4 linked regions of the Mytilus edulis genome follow. The protein of the gene in region 1 interacts with the protein of each later gene in a biochemical or structural test. Links are inferred from orthologs where the notes say so. Each region holds a gene or a part of one and is shown in the gene's direction. Other genes may lie near its edges.

What was found.
Region 2: of the proteins of cyclin-dependent kinase 1-like (region 1) and protein regulator of cytokinesis 1-like, one has a biochemical effect on the other in vitro, tested with the Homo sapiens proteins (2 studies listed by BioGRID). The link is inferred for Mytilus edulis from reciprocal best matches to the Homo sapiens genes CDK1 and PRC1.
Region 3: of the proteins of cyclin-dependent kinase 1-like (region 1) and membrane-associated tyrosine- and threonine-specific cdc2-inhibitory kinase-like, one has a biochemical effect on the other in vitro, tested with the Homo sapiens proteins (2 studies listed by BioGRID and IntAct). The link is inferred for Mytilus edulis from reciprocal best matches to the Homo sapiens genes CDK1 and PKMYT1.
Region 4: of the proteins of cyclin-dependent kinase 1-like (region 1) and replication protein A 70 kDa DNA-binding subunit-like, one has a biochemical effect on the other in vitro, tested with the Homo sapiens proteins (2 studies listed by BioGRID). The link is inferred for Mytilus edulis from reciprocal best matches to the Homo sapiens genes CDK1 and RPA1.

Annotation. Positions count from the first base shown.
Region 1 is NC_092352.1:29,770,201-29,777,287, forward strand, and holds the start of cyclin-dependent kinase 1-like, read left to right. Parts: upstream 1-4,068; 5' UTR 4,069-4,156; intron 4,157-4,638; 5' UTR 4,639-4,708; intron 4,709-7,001; exon of another isoform or gene 7,002-7,087. UniProt on the Homo sapiens protein: Plays a key role in the control of the eukaryotic cell cycle by modulating the centrosome cycle as well as mitotic onset; promotes G2-M transition via association with multiple interphase cyclins.
Region 2 is NC_092347.1:86,087,316-86,094,984, forward strand, and holds the start of protein regulator of cytokinesis 1-like, read left to right. Parts: upstream 1-4,659; 5' UTR 4,660-4,777; coding exon 4,778-4,791; intron 4,792-7,669. UniProt on the Homo sapiens protein: Key regulator of cytokinesis that cross-links antiparrallel microtubules at an average distance of 35 nM. Essential for controlling the spatiotemporal formation of the midzone and successful cytokinesis.
Region 3 is NC_092350.1:92,510,810-92,518,605, forward strand, and holds the start of membrane-associated tyrosine- and threonine-specific cdc2-inhibitory kinase-like, read left to right. Parts: upstream 1-4,771; 5' UTR 4,772-4,894; coding exon 4,895-4,987; intron 4,988-7,218; coding exon 7,219-7,354; intron 7,355-7,796. UniProt on the Homo sapiens protein: Acts as a negative regulator of entry into mitosis (G2 to M transition) by phosphorylation of the CDK1 kinase specifically when CDK1 is complexed to cyclins. Mediates phosphorylation of CDK1 predominantly on 'Thr-14'. Also involved in Golgi fragmentation.
Region 4 is NC_092349.1:5,677,838-5,685,696, forward strand, and holds the start of replication protein A 70 kDa DNA-binding subunit-like, read left to right. Parts: upstream 1-4,856; 5' UTR 4,857-4,955; coding exon 4,956-4,988; intron 4,989-7,452; coding exon 7,453-7,500; intron 7,501-7,859. Other genes in the region: merlin-like, read right to left, coding at 2,207-2,335, 4,538-4,645. UniProt on the Homo sapiens protein: As part of the heterotrimeric replication protein A complex (RPA/RP-A), binds and stabilizes single-stranded DNA intermediates that form during DNA replication or upon DNA stress.

The DNA of each region.
Region 1 (7,087 bases):
AAAATCATGCATCTTAGACTAAACTATCAATCCGTACACATCCAACATCCAATGAATTTAGTGTCAAGACGTCATAAACAGTCAGAGAAAAACATGACCTTGTGTAGCTTAGTATCAATTACATGTACAACTGTCAAAATTCATAAACTTGCCGTATATTGTTTGACATTTCAACAGTCATTTTAATCTTGTCTGTAGTTATCACAGCAGCTTCTAAAAAGGACTTTGGTTGTAATAGAGTCTAAATAGTAAATAGCTGTGTTTTTTTAAGTACTGGTATTAAAGTTCTAACGCTGGAGATTAAGTCTATAGCGATTGAGATGCAGTTTTGCACAGAAGCTTTAACGTCAATAATGTTGTAATTGACACCTCAAGGGCTAGAATTTATTTATTTATTTATGTGTAACATATTTGTTTTTCGTTCATTTTTTTTATATATATTAATAAGGCCGTTAGTTTTCTCGTTACAATTGTTTTACATTGTCATTTCGGGGCCTTTTATAGCTGTCTATGCAGTATGGGTTTTGCTTATATTATAAGGCCGTACGGCGACCTCTACTGAGTTGTTACTTTATGTGTCATTTTGGTCTCTTGTGGAGAGTTATCATTGGCAATCGTACCACAGAAAGAACATTGATAATAAAACGGATACATACAAATTGAAAACAAATCGCGTAAGAAAAAGCAATTATTGGTATGTTAGTTTCCTTTAGTATCATTTTTGGTTCAACTTCTTAATCATGATCAGGCAAAATTATTGGCTTTTTATTCTGACATTTGTTTTTCTTATTCCTCTTCCACCCCATTTTTCGGCATATTACACGTCCGTTTTATTTGGTCATCACATCGCGGACTCCTAACGGATGCAAATTTTGTAAATGAAAAACTTTTGTTATTTGTTATTTTAGCAGATATCGCATGTTTAGCATAGACACACACAATTTTGTTTTTTAGAATTTAAGTTGACCAGGCCAGAGTTCAAACTAACTATCTCCCACAATTTAGCTACGTCAAATCCAGTTTTAAAATATTTAAAAAGAAAACTGAATTAATATTCAGAAATGGATAACCATTAAAGTCATTCATTTCATCAAAAGTTATGTGGAACTATCTCCTGACACTTTTAAGACAGTTTTAGCTAGAACAGTTCTAACCAAGAACTGATTTGGTCATTGGTAAGTTCTACCTAGAACTGATTTACACACTTCAACCTGGAACTGATCCTGACAGTTCCACGGCTAAAAAAATCTACGACTAGAACAGAACTGCGACCTGATTTCGCCAAGAACGCATCACGATTGTTTTGAACATGTTTAAAGTTTGCTACTCTCAACACGATCACCAAGACCTCATCAAGACCGTAACACGACCATACTGGACTACGATCGTCAATAGCATAATGCATTATTTTTTTAGAGATCGTAGTGCGATCACGGCCTAGTGTGACGGGGCCCGGGTTATAATATAAATGTTGCTGAATACTACCAAATATTAAGGATGTGCCCTGAATGCAGTTGTGAACAAACATCTAAGTTTTAATTATTTCAATACAACACCTGTGATTACACTAAATTGGACGTCACTTATAATACTTACAAAGCAATTTTAAAATCGAATCATATTTTTTTTGTGATAACTATTATAATGACAAAAATGACATCTTTTACTCACATTTAAATTATCACCACCTGAAATAGTGTGTACGAAAAAATTATTCTAGACAAGGGGTCCTGTTCGATTGTTTAGTTTTTAACTATTTTATTTCTTTATACATGTACGCATTTTCGGCATTAAATAATGTCTGTTAGGAATCGAATTCATCCAAATCATATTAATAAATAACCATGTTAAAATAATGTTATTTATATTTGTAAGGCATGCATGTTTCTATCGGCAATGCTTAAAATTGTATCTGTATTTAGATTTTATGTTACCACAGACAGAAAACATGAATCAGGTTAACCGTAAAAAAAAAGGTAAACTCGAATAGTACAGCGCAACCAGAAAGTCTCAACATTGTGACAGAAAGACTCAACCAATACCTTTATATCTCAACTATTTATATTCTTTAATTTTTCTGCTCAGAGTAGCTTGACAAAGAAATATTTGTGCAAATTACAGACGTGGTTATCGTAAAGCCTTAAAAAAAACACAAATAATTGACATATTTTCTTGCTAAGTCATTAATATCATAGCAGTTCTATCGGATTTAAAGAATGTAAACATTATAATCCGTAGGAGAAAAGTGATTGTGACTTCAATTTAAAATATTTTAAACCAAGAAGAGACATATTAGTTACAATTATTATTTATCTATGGCATGACATTCTCCGATTTTACAAAAATGTCATTGATTTTCAGTAAATCGACGAAAATTCGACCTACCCTGTGTTTATTTTGAATATTTTGAAGCAGAAAGCTCAACAGGAAGTGCCAGAATACTTTTTTCCGAGATTAGATGGTTTACCAGGCGTGATATATGTAACTACGTATTTGACTTTAACGAAAGAAATATCGGTATTACTGAAAACTATTGCACCAGGATTTTCAATAACACAAAACTATTCAAAACATTTACTAAATTTTAAAGTCGGATCAAGGACTTCATTCGTAAATATAAATCAACATATCTAAAAGACATCTAATACTTTCAGAAAGCCACGAATATCATCGGATTTAGATTAATTTGAAAGTCAGACAAGACTCAGTGTTTTTGGTTCAATGACGACAAAATTATAAAAAACGCAAGTTTTATTTATTTATTATATATCTACGGAAATATCTCATCACATAAAACATACATATCCGTAACATAATCCCTTTGTTACCGCTTTACAGCATATATGTTGTATTGCACATCGTATGTTTGTTTCCTGGAATAAAAATTGCGAAAAGTCAAAGTGAGGCGAAAGATAATAAAGGGACATTCATAAATCGAAAAATAAACTGACAACACTATTACAGAAAACAAAAAAAATAAACTACAAAAAACAGTATACAAAAACCAACGGAACAAAACATAACAAATATATGTGTGGATATTGAATGTACAAGTTGTTCATTGAAAATAAAAACATAAATAAGGCCGTTAGTTTTCTCGTTTGAATTGTTTTACATTGTCATTTCGGGGCCTTTTATAGCTGACTATGCGGCATGGGCTTTGTACATTGTTAAAGGCCGTACGGAGACCTGTAGTTGTTAATCTCTGTGTCATTTTGGTCTCTTTTGGAGAACGGTTATCTCATTGGTAATCATACCACAGGCTTCTTTTTTTTTTTATATTATCCGATTCTCCAAGACTATACACAGTTGAATCAAAAAGACCCAAAACAAAATGTTGTGAATGTTTTTACATTCTGAACATATCTCTCAACAACTGAAAACGAAAAAGAGCATCTTCTATACATCGATCAATCTTGCATCTTGAAATCTTCTACCTATCATTAAAAAAAAAAGATTGAACACGGTAATATCAGTTATCGTACACATTATTTTGAGACCCCCTTCTATATTATTTACCTCGGAAACCGAGTCGGACAGTTAATGTAAATCTATGTAAGGGACTTCACGAAACTTTCCTAAATAGATATAGATCGATATAGGCAGATGTGATATGCGTGTCAATCAGACAACTCTCCATTCAAGTCACTTTTTTTTCATTTTTTGAAAAGTAAACCATTATAGCTAGGTCAAAGTACGTTCTTCAACACGAAGCCTTGGCTCTCACCGAACAGCAGGCTATGAAGGGCCCCAAAAATTACTAATGGAAAACCATTGAAACAGAGAAACCAATTAACGGTCTTGTCTATATATTTTTTTTTTTAAACGAGTCATGAACACTTATGAATGAACCACACCAACAAACGACAACCACTGAACATCAGGTTCCTGTCTTAGCGGACAGGTGCAAACAAATGCAGCGGTTTAAAACGTTTTAATAGGAACCAACGTTCGCCCTTACCTGAAACAATAGTGTTACATCACAACTGAACATAGAAATAAAAACTATGAAATATCGATTAATATATATTGCCATTTTATGTCTCATATCAAGTTTTTTTGTCACAGAAAAAAAGATAGATTGCCATGTTTAATGGATGACACGGACAGTAACCCAACAACTTAATGAAACAGAAAACATTTTTATCAATTTAGAGTAAAAATACTTACAGAATATATATCTGTTAAGACAGTACTATATAGCTATAGAATTTAGAATGGAAGCGTAAGATGTAGGCCCCTATCTGTAAAAAATGTTGTTGTCGTCGTTGATGTTGGTCAGTAAAATAATTTAAATATATTTTACTTGCTAGCAAATAAAATCTATATTGCATATTGCAACTAGCATGCACATATTAAGTTGTTGTCGTTCAACTTGGTGGCTGTCTGTAGTAGCTGATCTTAAAAAATATTATTTTGTCATAGATAAGCTAGCCCATTGGATTTTTTTCTTTTAAATTGTTTCTTAATTTACCATACCAGGACTTACAATCTGGTGTTCGTTTTGCTGATGGTTGAAGGCCGTATGGTAACCTCTAATTGCGTGATTCAATGTAATTTTGATTTAGTTGGAAATAGGTGTCTCGGATTGAAATCACTACATCTCCTTATTCCATATTCTCTTTCATTTCATCTCAGCTCTAGAGGGTGAAACGTTTTGGGGAAGTTAGATAAAGGAGATAAATAAGTGGAGATTTGGGATTAAGAGGTAATAATTATGGAATGCTAATTGAATATATGATGTTTAAAAGTGTGATTTGTGAGGGGAAAAAACGGTATTTTGAAAATGAGCTCTTCGTGTCACCTTCACCATCCAATTCAGTGTAAAAGGTTTATAAAGATTTAAATAAAAATAAAGGGAAAAAAACACAAAAACAAATAGCCGGAGAATCATTTGTTTTAAACGGATTAAAAAAAAGAAGACAAAAATGGACAAGAAATATTTAGAATAGAAAATCATTTGGTGCAAATATCTAAAAGAAAACAGAAAAATGATAAAAAACAAATCAGTAAAAATAGGTGATAGTGGCATCAGAATCACTGAAGAATACACCTGAGAAATTCATTTCAAGTATATGTTTTGGTATTTCGCAAGATACATGTATATGCTATTGCTTAGAGTTAATTTTTCTTTTTATTTATTTTGCATGCTGCATGCCTTGTTTTATGTGTTCAAGGATTTGTATAGTATTATACAAATCCTTGATTTGTTATAATTGCATATGTTTTATATTCGGTGAAAAGCTCATTAGAGATTACGTTTGTACTGTTTGTCAAACGGCATGCCGAATCCAAATAAAGTTTTACTTACTTACTTAAAATTGAGAATGGAAATGGGGAATGTGCCAAAGAGACAACAACCCGACCATAGAAAAAAAACCAGCAGAAGGTCACCAACAGGTCTTCAATGTAGCGAGAAATTCCCGCACCCGGAGGCGTCCTTCAACTGGCCCCTAAACAAATATATACTAGTTCAGTGATAATGAACGCCATACTAATTTCCAAATTGTACACAAGAAACTAAAATTAAAATAATACAAGACTAACAAAGGCCAGAGGCTCCTGACTTGGGACAGGCGCAAAAATGCGGCGGGGTTAAACATGTTTGTGAGATCTCAAACCCCCCCCCCCCCCCTATACCTCTAGCCAATGTAGAAAAGTAAACGCATAACAATACGCACATTAAAATTCAGTTCAAGAGAAGTCCGTTACTTTACTCAGTATTCATGCTGCCGGGTAAATTGCCGTTTTGAATTTTTGGCACGCTATTTCGAGCACGTCTTTATTTTGAATTTTAGCAGTTTACTCATATTTCTCATGCAGTTTGGAATATTAAGTTCGAAAATGCACAATACGCACTGCTGTGCACTGGTCATGAGGAGAACTACTGCAGAATGAGATACTACTAGAACACACCCGTGATATCGCGGTTCCGTGACTGAATTAACGTATAACTATGCGCAAGCCTTATCTTAGTATTAGTACTGTCATCTGATAAAGTCATGCCGATTATAAGATACACAATTTTCAAATCTTTCTGTTTGAACCCGTCGAACTGGAACTTATCAATTGTTGTTAATATTAAATATTTGGAAAACAAAAGGTCCGGGAATGGAGTATCTTTTAAACAACAGCATTGTCCTATATTAGTTATAAATAAAGTTGAATTCTTTGATTCGCTGTTTTACGTCATGCCCGCTAACAAATTGAAACTTATTTCTAGTCCAGATTTTTAGTATTTGTATTGTTATCTTAGAAAGTCTTACGGATTAAAATACTACAATAGGTAACAATTTGACAATTTAGTAGTGTCAACCCTGTGATTATGACCCGTTTATATAGCATATTAATCCTGAATACACCGTTTGGTGGTGCGCCTGTTAAATGCGGAACGTACAGATAAGGTAATAGGTAACAGGTGATTATACTATTGGTATCGGTATCGGACTCGACCCGGAACTTCCTAATTATTGGCGATATTAATTACGTGGAAAACAAAAGGGCCTGCAGTGGTGTAATTTTTAATCTACACCTTTGTACTATATTAGTTGTATATAAAGTTGAATTCTTTGATTCGTCGTTTTTACGTGATGACGGATGACAAATTGGACCTCGTAATTTTAGTATTATAGATATTCCTGGTTCTATTTTTACTTTTTGTTTCCGTATTAATAAACTTTATATCATATTCTTTTAATATTAAATCGACCTCATTGCACTCAATGCCTCTGACCTTAATTATATCCTACATTGCTCATATTATCAATTTATTATTTGTGTATTACTTATAATATTGTGTATTTCACTTATGTTTATATAATCATTGTATGATGTTTTTGTATCTTGCCCGACAAGAGCCCATGATTGGTTTAATAAAATAATGTCTAATAATGTCTAATGTCTATCCAATGCGGGTGTGCTCCTTTTATACAGGAGAATAATACTTGTACACGGAGGTAAAATTTCAGGAAAAAAAAGTATCCCGGAATTGACTCCGATAGTATATTCTAAAATTTTGGTCGGTCTAACGTTTTAAAATTATTCGAATTTTTGATTGGTCATATTTTAAATGCAGGAGCGGTGAAAA
Region 2 (7,669 bases), on another chromosome or scaffold:
AACTTTAGCCAAAATATATAATATAAACTTTTGTTTCTCGTTTCTCGACTTTTATACAGACTAGGCCGTTGGTTATCCCGTTTGAATGGTTTTACACTAGTATAATTTGTGGGCCCCTTTAAATGTGAGCCAAGGCTCCGTGTTGAATAAAATTGAGATTGGAAATGGGGAATGTGTCAAAGAGACAACAACCCGACCATAGAAGAACAGACACCAGCAGAAGGTCACCAACAGGTATGGCAATGCAGCGAAAAATTCCAGCACCCGGAGGCGTCCTTCAGCTGACCCCTAAACAATATATATATACTAGTTCAGTGATAATGAACGCCATACTAAACACCAAATTGTACACAAGAAACTAAAATTAAAAATAATAGAAGACTAACAAAGGCCATGCAGAGGCTCCTGACTTGGGACAGGCGCAAAAAATGCGGCGGGGTTAAATATGTTTATGAGATCTCAACCCTCCCCTATACCTCTAGCCAATGTAGAAAAGTAAACGCATAACAATACGCACATTAAAATTCAGTTAAAGAGAAGTCCGAGTCTGATGTCAGAAGGTAAGAAAATAAACAAAATGACAATAATAAAATTGAGAATGGAAATGGGGAATGTGTCAAAGAGACAACAACCCGACCAAATAAAAAACAACAGCAGATGGTCACCAACAGGTCTCCAATGTAGCGAGAAATTCCCGCACCCGGAGGCGTCCTTCAGCTGGCCCATAAACAAATATATACTAGTCCAGTGATAATGAACGCCATACTAATTTCCAAATTGTACACAAGAAACTAAAATTAAAATAATACAAGACTAACAAAGGCCAGAGGCTCCTGACTTGGGACAGGCGCAAAAATGCGGCGGGGTTAAACATGTTTGTGAATAATACATGAATAACATCAGACTACTAGCAGTTAACTGACATGCCAGCTCCAGACTTCAATTAAACTGATTGAAAGATTATGTCTTCATCAAATGAATATCAGGTACAATCCTTCCCGTTGGGGATTTAGCATCATACCATCATAACATATATGAGAAGAACATAACCCGTGTCATGCCAACAACTGGTTTTTAAATGAATGTGTTTAATTCCGATGCAAAGACCCTATAAGTGAATCAATATAAACGCCAAAATATGCAATCTTTAATGACCTGACAACAGTATCGTAACTATATCCCTTCTTAATAAGTCTATTTCAAGGTTTTGTTAGCTTCTGAGGTGAATACTGACATTTTTGTGCTTTATAAAGAATATTTCCATAAAAAATTGGATGTGAAATACCTGAACGTATAAGAAGTCTGCATGTTTAGCTATATTTACGAATGATGGTCTTATACCGATGATAAAATTTAGTAAATATTTTGACTAATTTGTGATATCGAAAACCCTGGTGTAATAATTTTTCAGTAATACATAAATTTCTCTCGTTAAAATCTAAAACATTGTTTGAAGACCGTACTTTGACCTATAATGGCCCAAGTTTAGTTCTATAAATTGTGACTCGGGTGGAGAGATGTCTCATTGGCACTAATGCCACATCTTCTTATATCTATTTAATATATGAAATATATTGCGTTTATTGCATCGAAAGCTATATATTTGTTTTAGTTGATACGGGTATGCACAACACACTCAGAGTTTAAAGAAAAGCAAACAAGTTGAAACTTCTTATATATGTTGTATATATACTGTTATACCACTGTCACAAGTTAGGGGAGGGTTGGGATCCCGCTAACATGTTTAACCCCGCCACATTATTTATGTATGTGCCTGTCCCAAGTCAGAAGCCTGTAATTCAGTGGTTGTCGTTTGTTTATTTGTTACATATTTGTTTTTCGTTCATTTTTTGTACTTAAATAAGGCCGTTAGTTTTCTCGTTTGAATGGTTTTACATTGTCATATCGGGGCCTTTTATAGATGACTATGCGGTATGGGCTTCGCTCATTTTTGAAGGCCGTACGGTGACCTATAGTTGTTAATGTCTGTGTCATTTTGGTCTCTTGTGGACAGTTGTCTCGTTGGCAATCATACCACATCTTCTTTTTTATACAACAACCAAGGATACTTCCAATTTCAAGACAAACTTTGGTGCTTTATGGATATGGAAAATCCATGTGTGTTTAAATAATAAGTTAAATATGGAACATGTATTATGCATATAATATACTATAATCTTCCAATTACATATATGTTTTGGTAAAAGTTATAAAATTGGTTATCCAGAAAGCCTGAGATTATCCTACCACATGTAATTGAAGTTACACTTTAAAATCCAAAGATTCTACAATAACTAATTGGACGTTAATTCGTTGGTGTTATGAAGAGAGATCACAATGACAACTCCTACCCTTTGGCAGAAAGTTTCATGGCAGACAATACGATAATATCTAATGATTATATAAACAGTGTAAAGTTATTCGTCTCGCCAAACATACTTAACTATGAATAAAAGAGGTTGTTGGGCATATGCTATATTGTATGACACCTGGCTGGCGTGTCTTCATTAAAACTGTATGTTGACATCTAGGTGCCGTATCGTCATTGGTGTCATTTGGTTGATGATCATGTTCCACTCAAAGAATATCCCTTTATTCGAATTTATATTGTAAGTGTAACTTTTTTTTTTACCAGACTTGAATTATCCTGACACTCAACATCTTTCACAAGTAGGCCTTCACTCTAGTTCTTTAACTAAAATAATAAAAGAAGGCATAATGCGCAAGCTGTAGTCCCCGGTATGAAAGAAAAACAATCTTCAAATACCTATTGGGCTTTCCTTATATACTAACTGTTTCATGTGAAACTTTCTCGTTTTTTTGTCAAAAAGTTACATTTTTACAATTGTTAAGGTATAAATAAAGGCAACAGTAGTATACCGCTGTTCAAAACTCATAAATCCATGGACAAAAAACAAAATCGGGATAACAAACTAAAACCGAGGGAAACGCATTAAATATAAGAGGAGAACAACGACATAACACTAAAATGTAACACATATAGACAAAATCCCACGAGAATAACAAATATAACATATATATATAACATCAAAACCAAATACATGAATTTAGGATAGACAAGTACCGTGACACGTCTTATCGCAATGTGAATTTACACTCAAAAATAAGAGAAAACAAACGACATAACGTTATAATGTAATACACACAGAAACGAACTATAATATAACAATGACCATATTCCTGACTTGGTACAGGGCATTTTTAAAGGAAAAAATGGTGGGTTGAACCTGGTTTTGTGGCATGCCAAACCTCGCACTTTTATGGCCATGTGAAATATAACATCAAAATGACAACACAGGACTACAATATAAATAAATTGGAGAACACAATTGACAAAGAATAACACGAACAACAGCCAACAAAAGGCAACAAGTTCAAAATTTTAATACCATATATTAATCTGTACAGCGGCATTTAATGTAGTTATAAAATTTTAAAAAGTCTGATTATTACAGATTTTTCGTTGATCCGGCTAATCAAGTCCGTAATATCTGTCAGCAGTCATTAATATAATACAATGCAACCGTTGAAAAAGCTTTCATACTATTTCTGTTTGCTTGTACCATTTGTTAGAATGTCTCTACTTGGACGAATACACTGATAGAAACTAATGTGTCAGTCCAATGCAAAAAATCATGACACAATGAACTTATGATATACTAAGGAGCAAATGAATTCTAAAATATGCCTTTGATAGACGATACCGTTTTAATTTTTTTTTTAAGTAGAGACCAGCTGCACACCCAAGATCCCCCACAACAACTAATGATGATGCTGAAAAATAAACACATAAGTAAGAGGCCATATGGCCTGTAGTTTCAATGTTCTTTAACGTGATATTTTGAACGCTTATTCTGTAAAATTCTGATGAAAATTATGTTAATATTATCTTTCTGCAATAATATAGGGTTTTTGCATGAATATTGGGGAATATATTTTTCTGTGGGAACTATTATATTGCTATGTAATAAAATGACTTCTTTAAACTGTAGGCTCTATCGTTCATTTGTGTAATCATCTTCGGCACTTGTCTCCGAAATATGTTCTCCCTATAATTCTGAGTTAATATCCATTTTAAACATGAGTAAATCATAAAAAAAACGTTGATGACGTCACGGTCACATGACAAAATTATGTCTATGGGCTGATAAACAAAACGACGTAAGCCAATCAGAAGACACGTTTCATCCAAAATTAAATTATATCTGAATATGATGAGGCCCACGATAGCCTGTTATAAAAAGGAGACTGCGGTAATCATGCTTACAATTTCTTTTATTTCTTTTTTACTTTCTATCTTTTTACTTTCTATTTCTGCACCCTTTATTTTTTTTTCATTTTTCTAACTATGTTATTTTGGCCATTATTATGCAGACCCCAGCCAGACCCACATATAAACTCCGAATTAATCGTAACAACTCGCTACGCAATGTAGGCCAATCGAAACTACTCGGCCATTCTCGCTATGCAGCACAATAACTTCGTGCAACCAGAAAGGCCGAGTAGTTCCGGTTGCAATGCAGGCGTGTCGGAACAGGCCGAGTATTTACGATTGAACTCCGAGTGAGACTGGTAACTTTTCTTTAGATTTTAAGAAACCAGTTTCTTAAATTACTTCCCTTAGTTTGACTAATCGCTGTTGTCGAATCAACTTGATGGGCCAATCAAAAACACCGTAACATAAAAAGCGAATTTAAACCAAGAAGCGCCATTGAAATATGTTTTGAATATCGTCGAATGTAATTTTTGAGCAAAAATGTCATCCCCATCGTAAGTTGTACATCACACACACGTTTAATCATTCCACTAGTATTATAAAATGTAAATATGAATCCAAGATCAATCACAAAAGGACATCAGAAAACAAAACAAAAAAGGTATAAATACTCAAAATAAGTTACTCAGACCTTTAAAAATAGTAAACATTAACTTCCAGTCTATTAAGAACAAAAAACCAGAAGTTGATATTTTGATTGATACCACACAGCCTGATATTATAATTGGCACTGAAACCTGGTTAGACTCTAAAACATCATCTTATGAATATTTTTCAAAAGATCATTACACAGTATTTAGAAAAGATAGACCACCAAATAAAAAAGGACAATGTCATGGAGGTGTACTCATAGCTATATCAAATAATTATTTATGTACAGAAATCAAAGAACTAGACACAGGATGTGAAATGATATGGGTAGAATTATTGATATCAAATGCACGTAAATGTTATATATGTGCTTATTATCGACCCCAGCCAGATGATGATACATCTTTAGATTTACTAAATGAATCCATAAGTAGAATAAATGTAAACTCAAAGTCAGCCATAATTATTGGTGGGGACTTTAATTTAGGAAACATCAATTGGGAAACAACAAGTGTCATCCCTGGAAAACCAAACCAAAAACAACATCAACAATTTTTAGATATGATAAATGACCATTCATTAGCACAAGTTGTAAACATACCAACTCGAAATGATAAAATTTTAGATCTTGTGTTAACAAATTATCCAGCCATCATTGAAAAAACTGAAACCATACCACCACTAGGGGAGGCAGACCATGATATTGTATATTTAGAATGTTTACTATCACTAAAAAGATGCCAAACCAAGCCACGGAAAGTATATAAATATAAAAATGCAAATTGGCAAAAAATAAAAGAGGATATAGACAAAATATATCAAAAGATCATACATAAAAAAGATAGTGAAGATACAAACACACTTTGGTTAATATTCAAAAACTCATTACAAAACACTATCACTGAGAACATACCACAGAAAATGATGAGAAATAGTAAAAATTTACCTTGGATAACAGACAGTATTAGACGGCAAATGAAAAAGTACAAGAAAAAATATCAAAAGTACAAATTAAAAGGCAAAGGGAAACTAGACCAACTTAAAAAATTGAAACATGATATACAAAAACAACAAAGAACATCTTATTGGAATTATATTGAAAATATGATATGTGGGATACCAGTTGATGAAAACCCTACAACGATATCAAAGAGCTTCCCAAAAAATCTGTTCAGTTACATAAAAACACAAAAGTCTGAAAGCTCAAACATACCACCACTCCGAAAAGAGGGCTCACTAACATCTGACTCGAAAGCAAAAGCTAATATTTTAAATGAACAGTTCGAAAAAGCATTTACACCTGTAACAGATGACCCAATACCAGACAAGGGCGTCAGTAAACATCCACAGATGCCTGATATTAAGATACAAAAACACGGCATAGAAAAACTTCTAAATAACATTAACATCAACAAAGCAGCTGGGCCTGATCTCATCCATGGTAAAATTTTAAAAGAGTGTAAATCATCTATCTCTCCCATCTTATCCATCATATTTCAAACATCACTGAACTCTGGAAAGATCCCAGATGACTGGCGTCACGCAAGTGTATGTCCAGCATTTAAAAAAGGCGACAAACACGATCCCATAAACTATCGCCCAATATCATTGACTTGCATCTGCTGCAAACTATTAGAACATGTTGTAGCTAGTAGCATTATGAAACATCTGGAAAAAAATAAAATACTATATGAATTACAACATGGTTTTCGATCCTCCCGCTCCTGTGAAACTCAGCTTATATCATTTATTCAAGATCTTGCAAATTCAAATAATAAAAACATCCAAATAGACATCATAATAATGGATTTTGCAAAAGCATTTGATAAAGTTTCACACCACCACCTCATGTATAAAATTGGTTTCTATGGTATAAATTGTAATGCATATTATTGGATTCAAGATTTCTTAACAAACAGAACACAAACAGTAGTCCTTGAAGGTGAAACATCAAACAAAATTCCTATAACATCTGGGGTACCTCAAGGCACAGTGCTTGGTCCAATTTTATTTTTAATCTTCATTAATGATTTGGCAGAATATATTGAACACAGTACATTAAGATTGTTTGCAGATGACAGCATTATTTATAGGGAAATTAAAAAAACAGATGACACATTTAAATTACAGTCTGACTTAGAAGCGGCCGGCAGGTGGGAGCAGGACTGGCTCATGCATTTTCACCCTGATAAGTGCAACATTCTCAGTGTAACCCAAAAACGCAAACCTTTAGACTTTACCTATAAATTACACAATCACTCTTTAGAAAAAGTTGACTCTACAAAATATTTAGGCCTAACTCTTCAATCAAATTTAAAATGGGACAAACATATAGATAACATGACATCAAAAGCAAACCAGTCCCTTGGATTTATTCGTAGAAACCTAAAAATAGCATCACCGAAAGTTAAAGCTCATGCATATAAAGCTCTTGTCCGACCAAAATTAGAGTACTGCTCAACAATTTGGAACCCACATCAAAAACAACAAACTCTACAAATTGAAAAGGTTCAGAGAAGAGCAGCACGCTTCTCATGCAACCGCTTCCATAACACCAGCTCAGTTACTGAAATGATGACAGACCTAAATTGGTACCCACTCGAAATTAGGCGTGTACGATACAGACTTGTTTTCTTCTACAAAATTATTCATGAAATTGTTGCAGTTCCTACACATAATCTTTTGATCCCACTTGACAATAGAACCAGACATAGCAATCCACACTCATTTAGGCAAATACAAACATCTAAAGACAGTTATAAATACTCATTTTATCCACGA
Region 3 (7,796 bases), on another chromosome or scaffold:
TCCATAGACTGATTATCACAATAAAATTAAATCACGACCATAATGTTGATTATTTTATACCGTTTTAGCAAGGATTTGTATAGTAAGACTTACTATACAAATCCTTGGTTTTAGTATGGATTTAGAAGCCTTTGCTTATATTTTGCATAGTGATATATTCACATAGTGGAATGTTTGAACTTGAAAATAGATTCATTCGAAAATTAAAATGTCCATCCGTTAATACTTGACGTTCGCATACCTGTCAACTGACCCGGATTCTGCGGGTGTGACCCGAGATTTTCACAATTCTGAGGGATCACCCGGATCACCCGCAGGGTCATTGAAATAACCCGGAAATTCCGAAAATGACCCGATTTCACCCGTATTTCTTAGCCTTGAGATTGATTTTCATAAGTAATATTCCTTTGAAATACCGGCAAATTCGTAATTATTCCATGAACATGCAGTTCATCTAGCTATGTAAACTGTCAAATTAACTTAAAGTGACCCATTAAGTGCATGGCTTCACTTGACAGCTTTGGTGTCAAACACACTGTTGATTAACACCAATTACCTTAGCTTTAGGTCGTAAATAAATTGCCCTGTTTTACAAAGATATTTCAACTAAGAGTTACTTCCCCTTATTTGTCACCATTCAAAATTATTCCTAATATTTACGCTTTATGGGTGAAAAAGATTAAATCATAATAATATCAAATTCAAATACATATTGAAAAATAACTTTTCATTATTTTTATACCTTTATACAATTTTCAAAAAAAAGTTGAAAATTATTTTTTACATTTATACTTCCTTTAACCATAGATATGCTTTAACTGTATTACTATATTTTATCATAGTCTAATTTCCTTGTAAGATTGAGGGATGAATGTTCATACATGTAATACCTCTACATGATATGTTGAAAGGCTAGTAGTCTCAAATAATATTTGAAAAATAAATTTTAGATGATGACAAAAAGTAATGGAAATAAGACTGTGATACACAAGTTTATAAAAATCTTTAAAAGTGTAATGAAATAATAATAAATAAGATTTAAAATGACTTAACCAAGTGAACATGCATTGATGTTTTGGTATCTTTGATATACATTATAAGAAAATGTACCATAAATACTGAAATTCAGCTCGAAAAAGTTCGTACGCGTTATGACCTGAGATTTGATTCTTCAATGCAGGTCATGACCTGCATTTTCATCGTCACAGGTTGACAGGTATGCGTTCGTGTTTATTAATATTATATATATTCAAAGGATTTAAAAAAAAATACTAACAGGAACGTTAGTTTATTATGAAATTTCAATTCAAATTTTGTTTGTTTGTTTTAATAGTTTAACCAGGGGCGGATTTAGGCGGGGGCGTGGCGGGCGTGCCCCCCCCCCCCCCCACACCCCTAAAATTTGCAAAGCATGGGTTGTCCGGACGTAATAAAGTATCCGACGAAAGCTAATGTCGTCGCATTCAATCTGTCGTAACATTCAAACAAGTATTACTATATAAAACAGTAATTTAACAGAATCATTTAACGTGATTACTAATCAACTGACCTTTTGTTTATTTAAGTTCTATAAACATGTTACACTTCAAAGGAAGGTGTCAAAAGCGGTACTGCGTTTGATGACAAATATCATAGGCTTTTAGCAGTTAGAATTAAAAAATTGTGACATTCTAGTTGCAGTTTTAATGAACAATTTCTTTGATAATCGAAGTTCAAAAACATCCCTACATCACTTTACCACGAAGAAGGTGGGAGCCATACCCGCTATTTGGGTAACCGGTTGGTTATTTCATCATACCAAGAAAGCAGTGTAAGTTAGATTCTTTCTTAAGGAAAGATAAAGATTATGGTTCAAGCGAGAGGTTAGTTTGTTAATTTGACTCATTATTTAATATCTCTGTGACAATACACGATTTCTCACTTGCAACATGTAAATTTTGCCGAAGCATGCATAAACGGTCAAGGCCCAAACCCGTAGGTACTACCGTATTACATGGGATCCCAAGAAAATAAGCACAATGAATTGTTTAAGGATCTCATTTTGATTTTAGTGGTTAGCGGCCATTTTTGTTTGTTTTACAGTATGTAAAAAGTCTAGCACGACCACCGAAAATAGAACAAAAATAAAAACACGTATCATGAATTGACAAATAAATTGTACCAGTAATCATTTTCGTTTTCAATACCTTATATTGGTCAGATGAGCTATCGTCATTTGCTTCGTCTCACTTTTTTTATATGGAGAATCAGTTTGTGTACTCAGAATTGTTTCTATTCCACTTTTGTTCAGTCCCGTTTTCTGGTAAATTTATAGAGGTAGTCAATGAACAGAAACTAATAGATGTTTTGTTAATTATGGTTAATGTAGATTGTCATTTAAATTATGCGGTTTTAGATTGAAACTTTAATTTCTCCCTCATTTTACCACAAATGTTTCTCGCCACACTTCGCTTGGCAAGATATCTATCTACATTGCACCCACTCTAGAAGAATATTTCAATAACTTTGATCATTTTAACCTCAAAAAAATTTTCGAAATTTTATTCTGCGCCCCCCTAACGTCAAATCCTGTATCCGCCCCTGGTTTAACCTTATAGCATTTACATACTTGTACTATGGTACGGTTTTGAAAATTGTATTCATTGTGTTGACCAACTATCCGACACGTCTTGATTCATTCACATTATAGATCACATTTCAAAAGCACACTATCGGTTTGCGTTCTCAAAAATTCAGGATAAAATGTCAATGAATCCGGAGTCAAAACATTTAATGTAGACCGTTTGACATTCGAATTCAACTATTAGATTTTTCTGAGTATCAGTGAGATGCTTTCTATGTACTATTTAGTGCGCTAAAATACTACTTGCATGCAATACTATTAAATTCACTCGTGAAAGCTTATGTTCGTTTTTGTTATCTAAATACAGGACACTGCAGAAAGAGCTTTACATGTGACTTTCAAGCACGGTCATCATTACTAACGGTATTCTGACCTCGAGTTGTTTCTATTTCATTTCTTTTTGAGTTACTGTTCTATTATAAACTTTGACCTGTTCGAAAAGATATAAGGATTGTCTACCCAAAGAATAGATTCCTTAACTTTGTAATGTACTTGTATTTAGACTGTTAACTTTTTTCATTCGAGCGTCCGTGACTGATGCTTTTCTTGTAGACTTAATTCGTGTCTGGCGAACATCATTTTAATTCTGGTATCTTTTAATATCTACATACCTTTTTATATAAATTGGTTATTTCGAAAGTGTGTAAAGGTATTCATAAACTTCTGAATTAAGAAATTCTTCGGCAAAACTAAGTTTCCCTGTATAATGTTTGAATTGATTAAAGTAAAATCAGGAAATCCTTAAAATTTGAGATGTTTTATGAGACCAAAATAAGTCTCTTCATAAGAGGTCACAATCAATTGCATGCCACAGATTTCACCGCATACACCATCTACCATGAGCACACAATATAAAGATATGATAGATAAAATAAATGCATCCAGAATTCTAGATTATAAAGCAAACTGAGTGCATAAATTTATATTGTGTTAGGTTTGTGCAATTTGCATAAATCATCCGGTCAGTAGAAATTAGGATTTGCCAAAGAGTTATAATCGGAAACAGTATGTACATTCCCAAGTAATAAATAAAATAGTTGAGTTTTAAATAACTATTCAAATAGAAGCTGTAAAGATATACTTTCAACTGGCAATTATTTCAATTCAAAAGCAAACACAAATTTATCAACAATCTTTTTGTGACACGGCAGTCAGCGGTCTTAGGTTCATGTATTGCTTTTCTTTTTTTAAGAAAGCAACTTGTTTGATCTTTTGGAATATGTTGTTTGTGCTGTTTTTAGACCCTTCAACAACGAAATTTGTTTTACATGCACACGTAAAAATTGCGGTTTTTATCCAACGCAATCATAGGTTTGAACGTAGTTTTCAATTTAGACTCGTATATATATATACTAGGATATATACTTGACCGTCTGAGATTCAAAAGTTCACAACATATTTTTTTCATTACACATAAAATTGACCCTGTCAACAAACAATCATTTGTTCCGCCTATTAACAGAAGTTCCAATGGAAACTTTGTTATAAACATTGTCATAATATCTCAGCCTGTTGGAACAAATATTCCATACATTTATTCCGTTAGGAACTTATTCTGTAATATTTATTCCCGTGGAAATAATATCTAGAATATATTTTCCTTTTGGAACTTTTATTATGAAGAAACTTCTATTCCCTGACACACCCCCCCCCCCCCCACTTTATTTAAATTTCTAAAAAAAACCACTTACTGACCCCCTTGACCTACTGTAGTAAAAACCCTATTAAATTGTTTGAAAATTTAGAGATTTTACACAAAGTGTTTAAACAAAAGTACTAATCACTTAAAAGTACTTTGGAATTTGTCTGAAAATGTCACAGTGAAATTTCCACGCGGCTTACTTTATTGGTTCCAATCCATCAATGTGTCAACTTTTTAGAATATATCTAAACTATTTTTAGATCTTGGCACGTTTCCACTTTTCGGCCAAGAGCAATCGACAAGCAAGCAGTTGATTGGGTAAATATTTGTATAGACAAATGTAATCATTGTTTCGCAAAAAAAATTTGTTGAAGAGATATTCAGTATTGAAATATATAAGACAACTATATTATTAAAATACTGAAATGTATTCTATATATTTATATGCTTGTTCGTTTATTTAGATTAGTTGGTTTAAGTTTTGACATTTTTAATGTCCAATCGGTGTGCTCGTTTCAAATTGCAATAACCAAAATACCGCGAAATGTTATGATGTGATGTGAAAGTGCAGTGTTTATCAGTTAAAATTTGAGAGTTTCGACATGCAACTATGACAAGTTTTTACGACTATGGTTAAGAAAGAGGGCGTTATGGACGCATTTTCGAGTCCAAGGCCCACACCAAGATTCTTCCAAGATGTTCAAACGTTCTCCACTAAAAAGGTGACCCAAAAATAAAAAATGCAGTGTTAGCCACTATTGCCACTGGGCAATAGCACTCTTAATTTAAGTTTGTCAGGTTATTGTCAAAAACATCTTATCAAGTGACAATTGTTTAATTATGTCTCTTCCTTTGTCTTAATTTGATCACTAAATTCTGAAGTTATTGTGAGGTTTCCTAAATTCACAATGTGACTTGATCACTGTTATCGCAGATTTCCCTAAAGTAAAATCACAATAATTAAACTCATGTTTGTCATTTCCTCAACGTCAACATTGACAACATTCTTGGGACATGGTTTATAGCAGATTACAATTGATTATATGCTTCTATATCTTGCAAAGACACTCATTTCTTTCTAATGATTCTTTTATCAGAAGCATGCATTAATTTTCAGATCAGCAACACTCATAATGGGCTTATGTTTTATTCAGGTCTAAATATTTAAATATCCAGGCGAAAATCAACTAAGCTGGCAAACGTTTTGTTTTTCAACAACATAGAGAAATGGAAGATAAGGGAGGATATTAAAAGATCAATGTAGGATAAAAAAATTGCTGCAAGTTTTGTTCAATTCAAGATCCATTTTACTTCTATCATATTGGTCAATCAATCTTTCCCAAATTAAGTGAAGAGTGGGGTGGGGGGCAGTGAAAAAACTATATGAATTAAGTTTTTTTTATCCTACATTGAACTTTGATGCCATCCCTAACTCTGTGACCTGTCATTGGAAACTTCTGGGTTTTTCCAAAGTTGTATTCAAGCTTATAGAACATTTGTACTTGGTTCAACTTTAAATTTCATGATTTACTTACGGCAGATTTTACAGTATTGTGTTCTGTCTCCTACTTTCATGTTGCTAACGTGACAGAGACAAAAATGAGTAACGTTAGCGACATTTGGACATGTCACATGAGCAACAACATCGTTAAAAGTTAAAATGTATGCACACAGTGATGTTTAATATATGCCTGGAGTAATAAAATTGTACAGTCTGGTTTAGAATTTCTAAATATACAGAATGTCATTTGCAGGTGTACTTTATATCAAATGAATACACAAGAAACCAAAAAATGAGTAACGTTAGCGACATTTGGACATGTCACATGAGCAACAACATCTTTAAAAGTTAAAATGTATGCACACAGTGATGTTTAATATACGCCTGGAGTAATAAAATTGTACAGTCTGGTTTAGAATTTCTAAATATACAGAATGTCATTTGCAGGTGTACTTTATATCAACTGAATACACAAGAAACCAATTCGTAATAGTAACATTAGCAACATCTACTATCATGACATTACGTTTTGTTGCGAACGTCTTTTTGGTGGACGGAATACATTTAAGGTCCTCTTGTAACGATATTACATACAACTTCCCATCTTTGCTTCCCCATCATGTGAAGGAACTGACTCCGAATCTATTTCTGCAAAGGGCGATATCGTAACTCCTATACAGGAGAGTTACAGATCTAAATATATGTTGCTCACGTGACACTGATTTGGACGGAAACGTCGAGAGTAACGTTCGCAAAAAATAAAACAGCCAATGATATTGATTCCTCAAGTCCTTTGAACCCCTTACGTCATCCAAATGTAATATGAATGCTATTTTCAATTATTTATAAAACCCGGGATAAAAATAACTACAATGGGCTGTCTGAGAACCATCAAGAAAATTGCGATCGTGACATACCACAATGGACGGAAAAGACGTGACGTTAGCAACAATATTATTAAATTACCTTTTTTAGCCTTTACCAATAAAAAACTGCCTTAAAGTTATGATTAAAACACAAAAGAAGACTTTTTATTAAAATATAAGTCCATGTTATTAGGCTCCACTTATAAATAATACTTCAAAATTCCACTCCAAATAAGCTGGATGTCAGTAAAGTAGGTCATGATGTCTATTCCATGTCCAATATTTTGAAATTGAAAACCCTCTAATTCTAACAAAAAACACAAACACAGAGTAATTTTTATTTTTATTTACTCAGAAAGACACATTTTATTCAATAACATAATGCATTACTCCATTACACAGTCGGTTTCACAGTTTCAGCAATTGCTTTTTTGATGGATACAAAAAAACAATATTTCCTTCTTATTGTAAAATCTGCCTTACCCACAAAGTCATAAAAATTGTATCCTATGAATTATGGTGATTCCACAGTTGCAATAGACTTTGTATAAATGTGCATTGACATTCCATGTATATTGTTCTACAGGCAAAGGGAACTCCTAGAGATTCGTTGCCACCAAGACCTCCTGTGAAGAGTGCACCTCCAGTTAGTAGGATATTCCCTCATAGGCCAGTGGAGAGAGCTCAAATTGTATCATTCAGAAGTCAACACAGTAATGGATGTATCCTTTCTATAAACTTTGTTAGACATTGGTCAGACTCCAAGTTATTTATACAAGTTCTGAACAAAAAAGAAAGATGTGTCTCTTTCCCATTGAACTGATCACTTGATAGATGAGCTTTAATATATTCACCTGTTTACAGGATATATTATGGTTTACCGTTGCATTTGTCTGTCCATCTGTCTGTGTTTTTTTGTCCCGTTTTTAATTTGGGACACATTAAGGTCCAAAGGGTATGCTGAATCCCAAACATGTTTATAGATTTTTGATTATGGGCCCAGTTTTCAAGTTGGTACAAATCGGGGTCAAAAATTAAACTTTGTTTGTAATCATAAAACAATGAATTATTTAGGTTCTTTGATATGCTGAATCTTACCGTGTATTTAGATTTTAAATTATTGGTCCTGTTTTCAAATTGGTCTACATAAAGGTCGAAAGGGTC
Region 4 (7,859 bases), on another chromosome or scaffold:
CGTCTGAAAAATTTCATACACGGGAGTTTTTTCTCCTAAATGGGAGGTTCACATGTATGTTACGAAGGGCATCTAATTCACATGACAAAGGAAACCCATGAATAAAGATAACACTTTATATATCCTTTTTATTTATATAAAAATAAAATCTTCTTGTCTGCAGGATTGCAAATTCGTAACTTCAAGGGCGAACTTGTAAACAGGGCGAGTTGTACCGATACCAAATTCACGCATGCGTAATACAAATATCTACAGTAAAAACATCCTGTTACAAGTAAACAAATTACGTTCATGTGGATGAGATGAAATCTAATAATTTACATAAATAAAAGGGTCATATTTACGATAGTGATTGTTTTACAATCATAATTTACAAATTAAATGATTCAGATGCCCAATCATGTGTAAAAATCGGTGTCAGGAATCTAAGTTGTTTTGATATTGTAATACACGAAATGAATGCGGCATACGGAGACTCAAAGCCAATGGTCGGCCCCTTAAGTCTTCAGAAGACTTGACGTCTTCTTCCACTAAAAACGATCAAACACCGGGGTTTGTTACAAATTATTTGCCGAGTTTACTATCCATACGAACCCCGAAAATGAGCAAGTCTTTGAAGTATTAATTATCACCTATTCAAACTTATAATTGTTTAGTCAGAAATTCTACCATTTGAAAACAATTGAGAGGATATGATTAGAAAAACAAACCCCAAGCTGATACGACTTGAGAAATTTCACTTTCTCGATGTTCAGCTTGGATGAGGCCATTTAAATATTATAAAACTTTAAGGTCAGACAAATGAGAAATCTTTATGCTAAAAAAATGTCAATTCCTGTCAAACGTCGTAAGGTAAAGACGGTAAACTGTACACTGCTACAGTGGGTTACAAAACCAAACAGAAGCTGACAAGGACTTTATTGTTGGTCCTACATGTTCTGCAACATTACCTGTTAGTGCTAAGAAATCTTCACATAGGTAGTCTGGTGTAAACCCATCATGGAAAAAGACTTCTCCTTCAGTTTTATACACTGATAGTATGAGGATTTAATATATGAATTTACAATGGAGGAAAAAAAAGACTCTTCTTCTATATCATGTGTATCCAGACAAAAACATTAACAAACAAAGGGGTACATTGTAACTATCATGAGCATGATGAGGACATCATTACAAGAGAAAACATCAATAGCATAATATAATAAAAACACATCAAATCAATTACAAACAAAACGCGCGCCGCAATAAAGTTACTGAGAATTGTCGAAAATTACGCGCTTACCACAGCGCTATCCAAAAATCCTGGGGAGAACACTGTCACATGTACATTTATCTAGAAATATACTGTAAATTCAGAATTTTTTGCCAAAGTTTTTTATCAATGCAAATAATGTCATTACTAGTTGATTTAATACTGCAATAATTAGAAGTTACTTGTATTCTGATATCAGATATATATATCTGTAAGCAGCGTTTCCTAAAATTGCAATAATTAAACTTACATTTTTGTTCACTTTTCAAAAGTTGCAATAATAAATGGGTGCAAGAATTTCTGAATTTAAAGTAATCTAGCTTCATTGCAGCACAAACTAGATGTTGCAGCTAGAACACAGTAAATGATAATATGGCTGTTCTAATTAATCGTAGTTACATGTACATGAAAATAATATTTAACTTCTGCACTTCTTGTCTATAATCTTCATGATGTTCATCTTTTCATCATGTTAATGTTTTTGTGTCAATACACAATATACTGCTATTCTAATAGTGATAGAGTGAATACCAGGTGGCTGATTGTTTCAGTTAAAAATATATCTTGTTGGTCAAATTTTTGTATTGAGTAAATTAGCTTGATGATACAGAGCATAAAATTTGAAAAAAACAAACTAGATATCATTGAGATGGAAGCCATCTCTGTGGGCCCGCTGTGAATAATGTGTGGTAAAAAATGTGTATCTTTATCATTAAACATGGGGTTGTCAACTGAAACCGATGATTTTGACCTTGATGATGATCTTTGACCTACGAAGTTGTACATAAATTATGACACACCCTCTGGTGTTGTATAATATACATGTCAAGTATAAACTTTGAAATCATAACAGTTGTCTAGACATAGAGTGGACACAATTTGTTATGGACAGACCGACGTACAGAATGATCACTATAGGGCATTCGCCATTCCGCAGGGCCCTAATTAAAATACCTTTTTATCAAATTTGAGCCATGCTATATATCCTTTCGTGTCAACATACTGCAGACCAAAGTACCATGTTTCTCTCAGACCAATTGTTCTACACACCAGTTCAAATAAATCTTTGCCTGTAGCCTTGTGCTAAAAATAGAATAAAACTTAATGTATGTCTAGTATGTACTTACACATTGATTAAAAGTTTATTTTATATTACTTTAAGGTATCTTTTTTTCATATTTTGTCAATGCTTGTTTGTTTTTTTTAATTCTGAAATAAAGAAGAATCTTTGTTTCCTATTTATTATTGATTTTACTTTTTTGAACGTTGATGATCCTGAGGCCACTACTAAACTTCTTAAAGTATGCATATATATTTCCCAACTCATTTGCTAAGCATATCAGCCAACTTTTCAAAATGTCGAAGTGGGTTTTATGTTCAAAATGGCTCATTTACTCCTACAAAACCTTCAAGGGGGCCTTCAAATATATAGAGAAGTAACAAATCAAGATATTTTATCTTGAAATTGTAGATATTTTAAGTTTAATATGTATTAATAGAAAAACAGGTGACATATTTTTTAAAACATCTTTTTAATTATAAATCCACCAAAAAGGCAATGACAAGTATTACAAGAACGGGTCAGAATTATTAGCATGTCATTGAACAATCAATGCTTCAATATGTCCATGTGTTTACATGTTTAAGTGAATTTCAAGAATTTATACCACACCAATATCTGAATAAGTTTCTTAAACTTGAATGCCATTAGTATAAATATATTAAAAAAATTTGTAAGGGTTCCGCGGAACCCAGTGTCTTGCCTACTCTTTCTGTTAATCTCAGGCTCAACAAAAATGAGGAAATAAATCAATGAAATATTCCTGTTGATACTATCTTTTGATTGTAAGAAGCTTCTGTCCAAGTTTTGTAAAAATCCAGGATAGTTTATGAATCTTATAAATGTTTAAAATCTTTAACTGCAGACTGAATGTAATGTTAACTGGAAGAAAACAAAATTTCCTTCTAGATACTAGCTTTTGATCATAAACAAGTTTCTGTCTGTCCAAGTTAAGAACAAATCCAAAATAGTACATGTATAAGAAAGTTATTAAAATTTTAAAAAGTTTAACCACAGAGTGAATGTGTTGTTTCCTGGCAGCAAATCTAAGTCCATTTAAAAGTAAAATATGAAAATATAGATTTAGTCATTTACAAAATTTCATTCCTGATACTAGCTTTTGATCATAAACAAGCTTCTGTCCAAGTTTGGTACAAATCCAAAAGAGTATAAGAAAGTTATTAAAATTTTAAAAACCACAGAGTGAATGTGTTGTTTCCTGGCAGAAAATCTAAGTCCATTTAAAATTTAAATTCGGAAAAATGGATTTATTTTTTTTACAAAATTTACTTCTGGATACTATCTTATGATCATAAACAAGCTTCTGTCCAAGTTTGGTACCAACCGAGGATAGTTCAAGAAAGTTATTAAAAAAAATTTAAAAACCTTAACCACAGAGTGAATGTAATATTTTCCTGTAGAAAAACTAAGTCCATTTATAAGTAAAATACGGAAAAAATGGAATTTTATTTTTACAAAATCTACTTCTGGATACTATCTTATGATCATAAACAAGCTTCTGTCCAAGTTTGGTACCAACCGAGGATATTTTAAGAAAGTTATTAAAATTTCAAAAACTTTAACCACAGAGTGAATATTTGTGGACGACGCCGACGACGACGGAATGTATGATCGCTTAGTCTCGCTTTTTCGACTTAAGTCGAAGGCTCGACAATAAAAGTAGAGAGAACGAACTCATGGCAACACACTATTCAATAATTGAAGGATTGCTAGAAACTGAAAGATTTAACTCTTGATGTTTTAACACCACTCCACTTTTAAACACAGCTTTTGAGCTATTTTGTGGTGGCAAGTTTTTATTGGATGAAGAAGCTGAGGTGCCTGGAAAAACCCGCTGACTTTCAATTGGAAAACTGACAATCCTAGTCCATTAAGATTGGAATAAGTACACCCGTACCAGCCGGGTTCAACTCACAACCTCATTGTTGACTAGTAGTAATTTTCAGTAATAACTACGGAGACAACTCTGCCTCAGAGATCGCAGAAACTGAAAGAAGGTGAAAGACTCTACAGGTGAACGAACACACCAGATAACATCTATCTGGGTACGAAATGACTAATTTTTAAATAAAATTATGTGTGATTTGACTTCAGTGTGATATATATGTGTTTCCTATTACTTAACTAATTTAGTAGTTTTACAAAATATCATGTCAGAGACGATTTATCAATCAATAACACACAGTAATGCTCGAAATATTCACCTCCACAGTCGTGAAATCAAGTTCTGCATCCATTGTTGTCACTTTCACAGCAAAACTTTTTGAGCTACCTGAGGCCTGAGCAGCCTTTTTCATATTAACAAAAGGCATTGCGGCGTTTAATAAGTCTATCGACTAATCTAACACTTTTACATGGTGCTCATAAAACGAATAACCGATCCCTTTCATCTTCATCTTTCACATTTATTCAATGTTTTCATTTTTCATTTAAGTTTGAAATGCTTTACAAGCCACTGCTAATACCGTTCTTGTAAAGCGCTTAGATGATTGCATTTAAAAAACCGGAAAAAGAGGTACAATTGACGCATGCGTAGTAAGCTATATATTTAGCGGGAATAAGCAATCATCAGCAAATAAAGCAGAAAGCAGTCACAGCACTTTCACAGAAAAACAACACAGAATGGCACCAGATCTAACATCGGGTGCTATTGAGGTTAATCAAATTTTGAAGAGGCGAATAACCATTCAACAATCCCTGTTTAAACTTTATGTTATCATGTCCTTCTTTCAGTTACAATGTATAATTTAATATAGATCTTATAAGCGATGTCCGCCGATGAGGGAGTCCCTTCTCTTTATGGTTAGAGTTAACCGTTAGGTGAGATGTGTACTTTAGGTTTAAGTCAGATTTAACATTCTTGATGTCGGATACACATGTGCCTACACCAGCTGTGCTGTGGAGTCGTATGTGACATATATGTCCTTGATTTAATTGATGCAAGCTTCTTTATCATAATTGCTGTATTTCATTCATCCCAATGGGTCCTACTAAAATGTGTCCGGGTAAATAAAAGCGCCCGGGGAAGAAAAAATAGCGCAACTTTGTGTTGATAAAATAAGTTGTGCACATTATTTTTTTTTTAATTTTAGACAAGTAATTTTTTTGTAATAAAACAAGTATGAATGTTTCAATTTTAACAATAATATAATTTATGAATACAATTTCGAAAGACTGATTATAATGGATCACAGTTTATGCGGAAGATTTATAAAATGTAAGACATCAAAAGGCATTGTTTTTCAAAAACAATATCAAAATGAAAAATGTAAAAAAAACGACTTAGATTTCACAGATTAATATATTAATTTAATCAAAATTAAAAGAGTTACACATAATACATCAGCAAATAAAGCAGTACTATACATGTACCGTAGTTAAAACAAGGGGGTAAAAAGCAGGAGTTTGGTTTAAATTTAAAACTAAGCATTAAAACCCTGATAACCATAGCCATTGAAACAGTTTTAGTTTCATAAAAAAGATATAATAAATGTATATCAGCATCTGCATAAAAAGTGTTCTCCATGCAGTTGCGAAAATATAAGACTTCAGGCATCATATCCACATTTATATTAAGGACAAAATTTATTTTTTTTAAATTATCATTGCATAACAATATATTAATGTATCTAGGCACTCATACCACATCTTCCTTTAATCTGTCTACATATTATACTTGCTCTTAATTGAAAAGTATTTAGACAGTCTATGTGTTGTCTTACACTGTTTTTTTTTAAAGTTTTGAGTGACCTCTAGTATTATCAGATGGTGCTGGGGGCTAAAGTAAATAGGCTCATCCTGTTGATATTGTGACAAATCTGGACTTATTATTGTTATTATTTAACGTATTATTTATTGTATATGACATATATTTATTTGAATATTGCCGGGTGGTCAACTTCTCTCGAGTGCACAAACACTGATAAATGCATTGACTTTCATACTCATGATTTAAACTATTTGTACTTTGCAAGCGATAAGGGTCAGTTTTATATGTATATCTTGGTAATGTTTACCTATGAAATACTTTGATTATACCGTCATACAGTGATTTATTTTGACAAATATCGTCGTGAGATTCAACTTGTTTACATCTGCCACGACACCGTTTTGTACTTTCACTTTGCGATCTCACATTATCATTTGTTTAAGTTAACACTTTGTCAATGCAGATAATTTGCGTATTTATTATGTTTGTGCCTCCCTTTTCATTAACATTGTCTTTATTTATGATAGAACAGGGTTTTCATTGATCTTATTTAAGCATTATATCTAATGCGTAAGGTTATGTAAATTACACCCAAGTTCATACGCCGTACCGAGAAAGGAATTTACTGTCCGTTTAAAAATAGCATTATGTAGAAATGTCCTTTTAGTTTCATTTGCTTTTAAACATAATTCGGACAAGAAGGACAAAGTGAGGACAACTTAATAATGTTTCTTTATCTAAGAATAACGAAATCTGTTTGTCTTTCTAAACGTTACTAGCCAAAAGACGTAAGAAACGTTGCTTTTGATTGGATGATTAGATGTTTACTCTAACGTCATAGTAAGTGCCAAAAGACATAAATAGGAGCCTGTAGACACACATGTCATTCTGAATCAATCTCTTGAACCGTCAACTACCTTTTATATTGACCACCCGATTTATTGCTTTATCTGTTGAATGATGAATGTGTATTTGATGTTTATTATATTGAAAGAAGAAGTCAAAAAACTGTTGAAATAAATATCATTGTTATGTTTATTACAAATCTGTTTCTTCACACTGCCGTCGATTCCACTCCTCCTGAATGATGGTTAAACAGTTTATAGTAACCCTAGGTTTGTTACAATATCATCTATACCATGGATGATGCATAGACTCCAGTCACTCCAATATCTGTAAAACTTATATACTTAGATAAATAAATGTCTCAAAAAAATTTATCGCCTTTTGGTCATTCAATATATTTTTTACTGTTTTCTATAAAGCAATCCAAGTTGGATAAAATTCCTCAGTGTGAAAACTTTTGGATGAATATCTTAATGACTTAAAAAATAAACTTAAGCTCCTTCGTGCAATTGTAAATCCTATTGTGCTATAACTTATAAAGTCTTGTGTGTTTTCTTTTTGTAGGCTATAGTTGGTGGAAACAATTTTGATAGACCTGTCTTGCAGATTATTGTAAGTATGAAGACACACTAGTGGTCTCAGGCTTTTTTATGCTCTTTCGTCGGGTTGTCACTTTGACACATTCCCCTTTCATCTCAGTCTTATTATTTACAAAAGGGGAGTGGGAAAAAACCCAACTGATAACTTCTCTTCTTATGTATTAAAATGTTCTATATTCAGGTATTAGATAAATCTACAAAAAAATTGAGATGTGGTAAGATTACCAATGATACAATGCAACTATCCACCAGAGAAAACAAAAAGGAAGTCAAATAGGTTAATCTATTACACATTTTCCATGAATATACATTTCTTCTATAAGAAGATTAGAATAAATATTAACATTAAATTTTCTGACTTGTCTCCCCTTA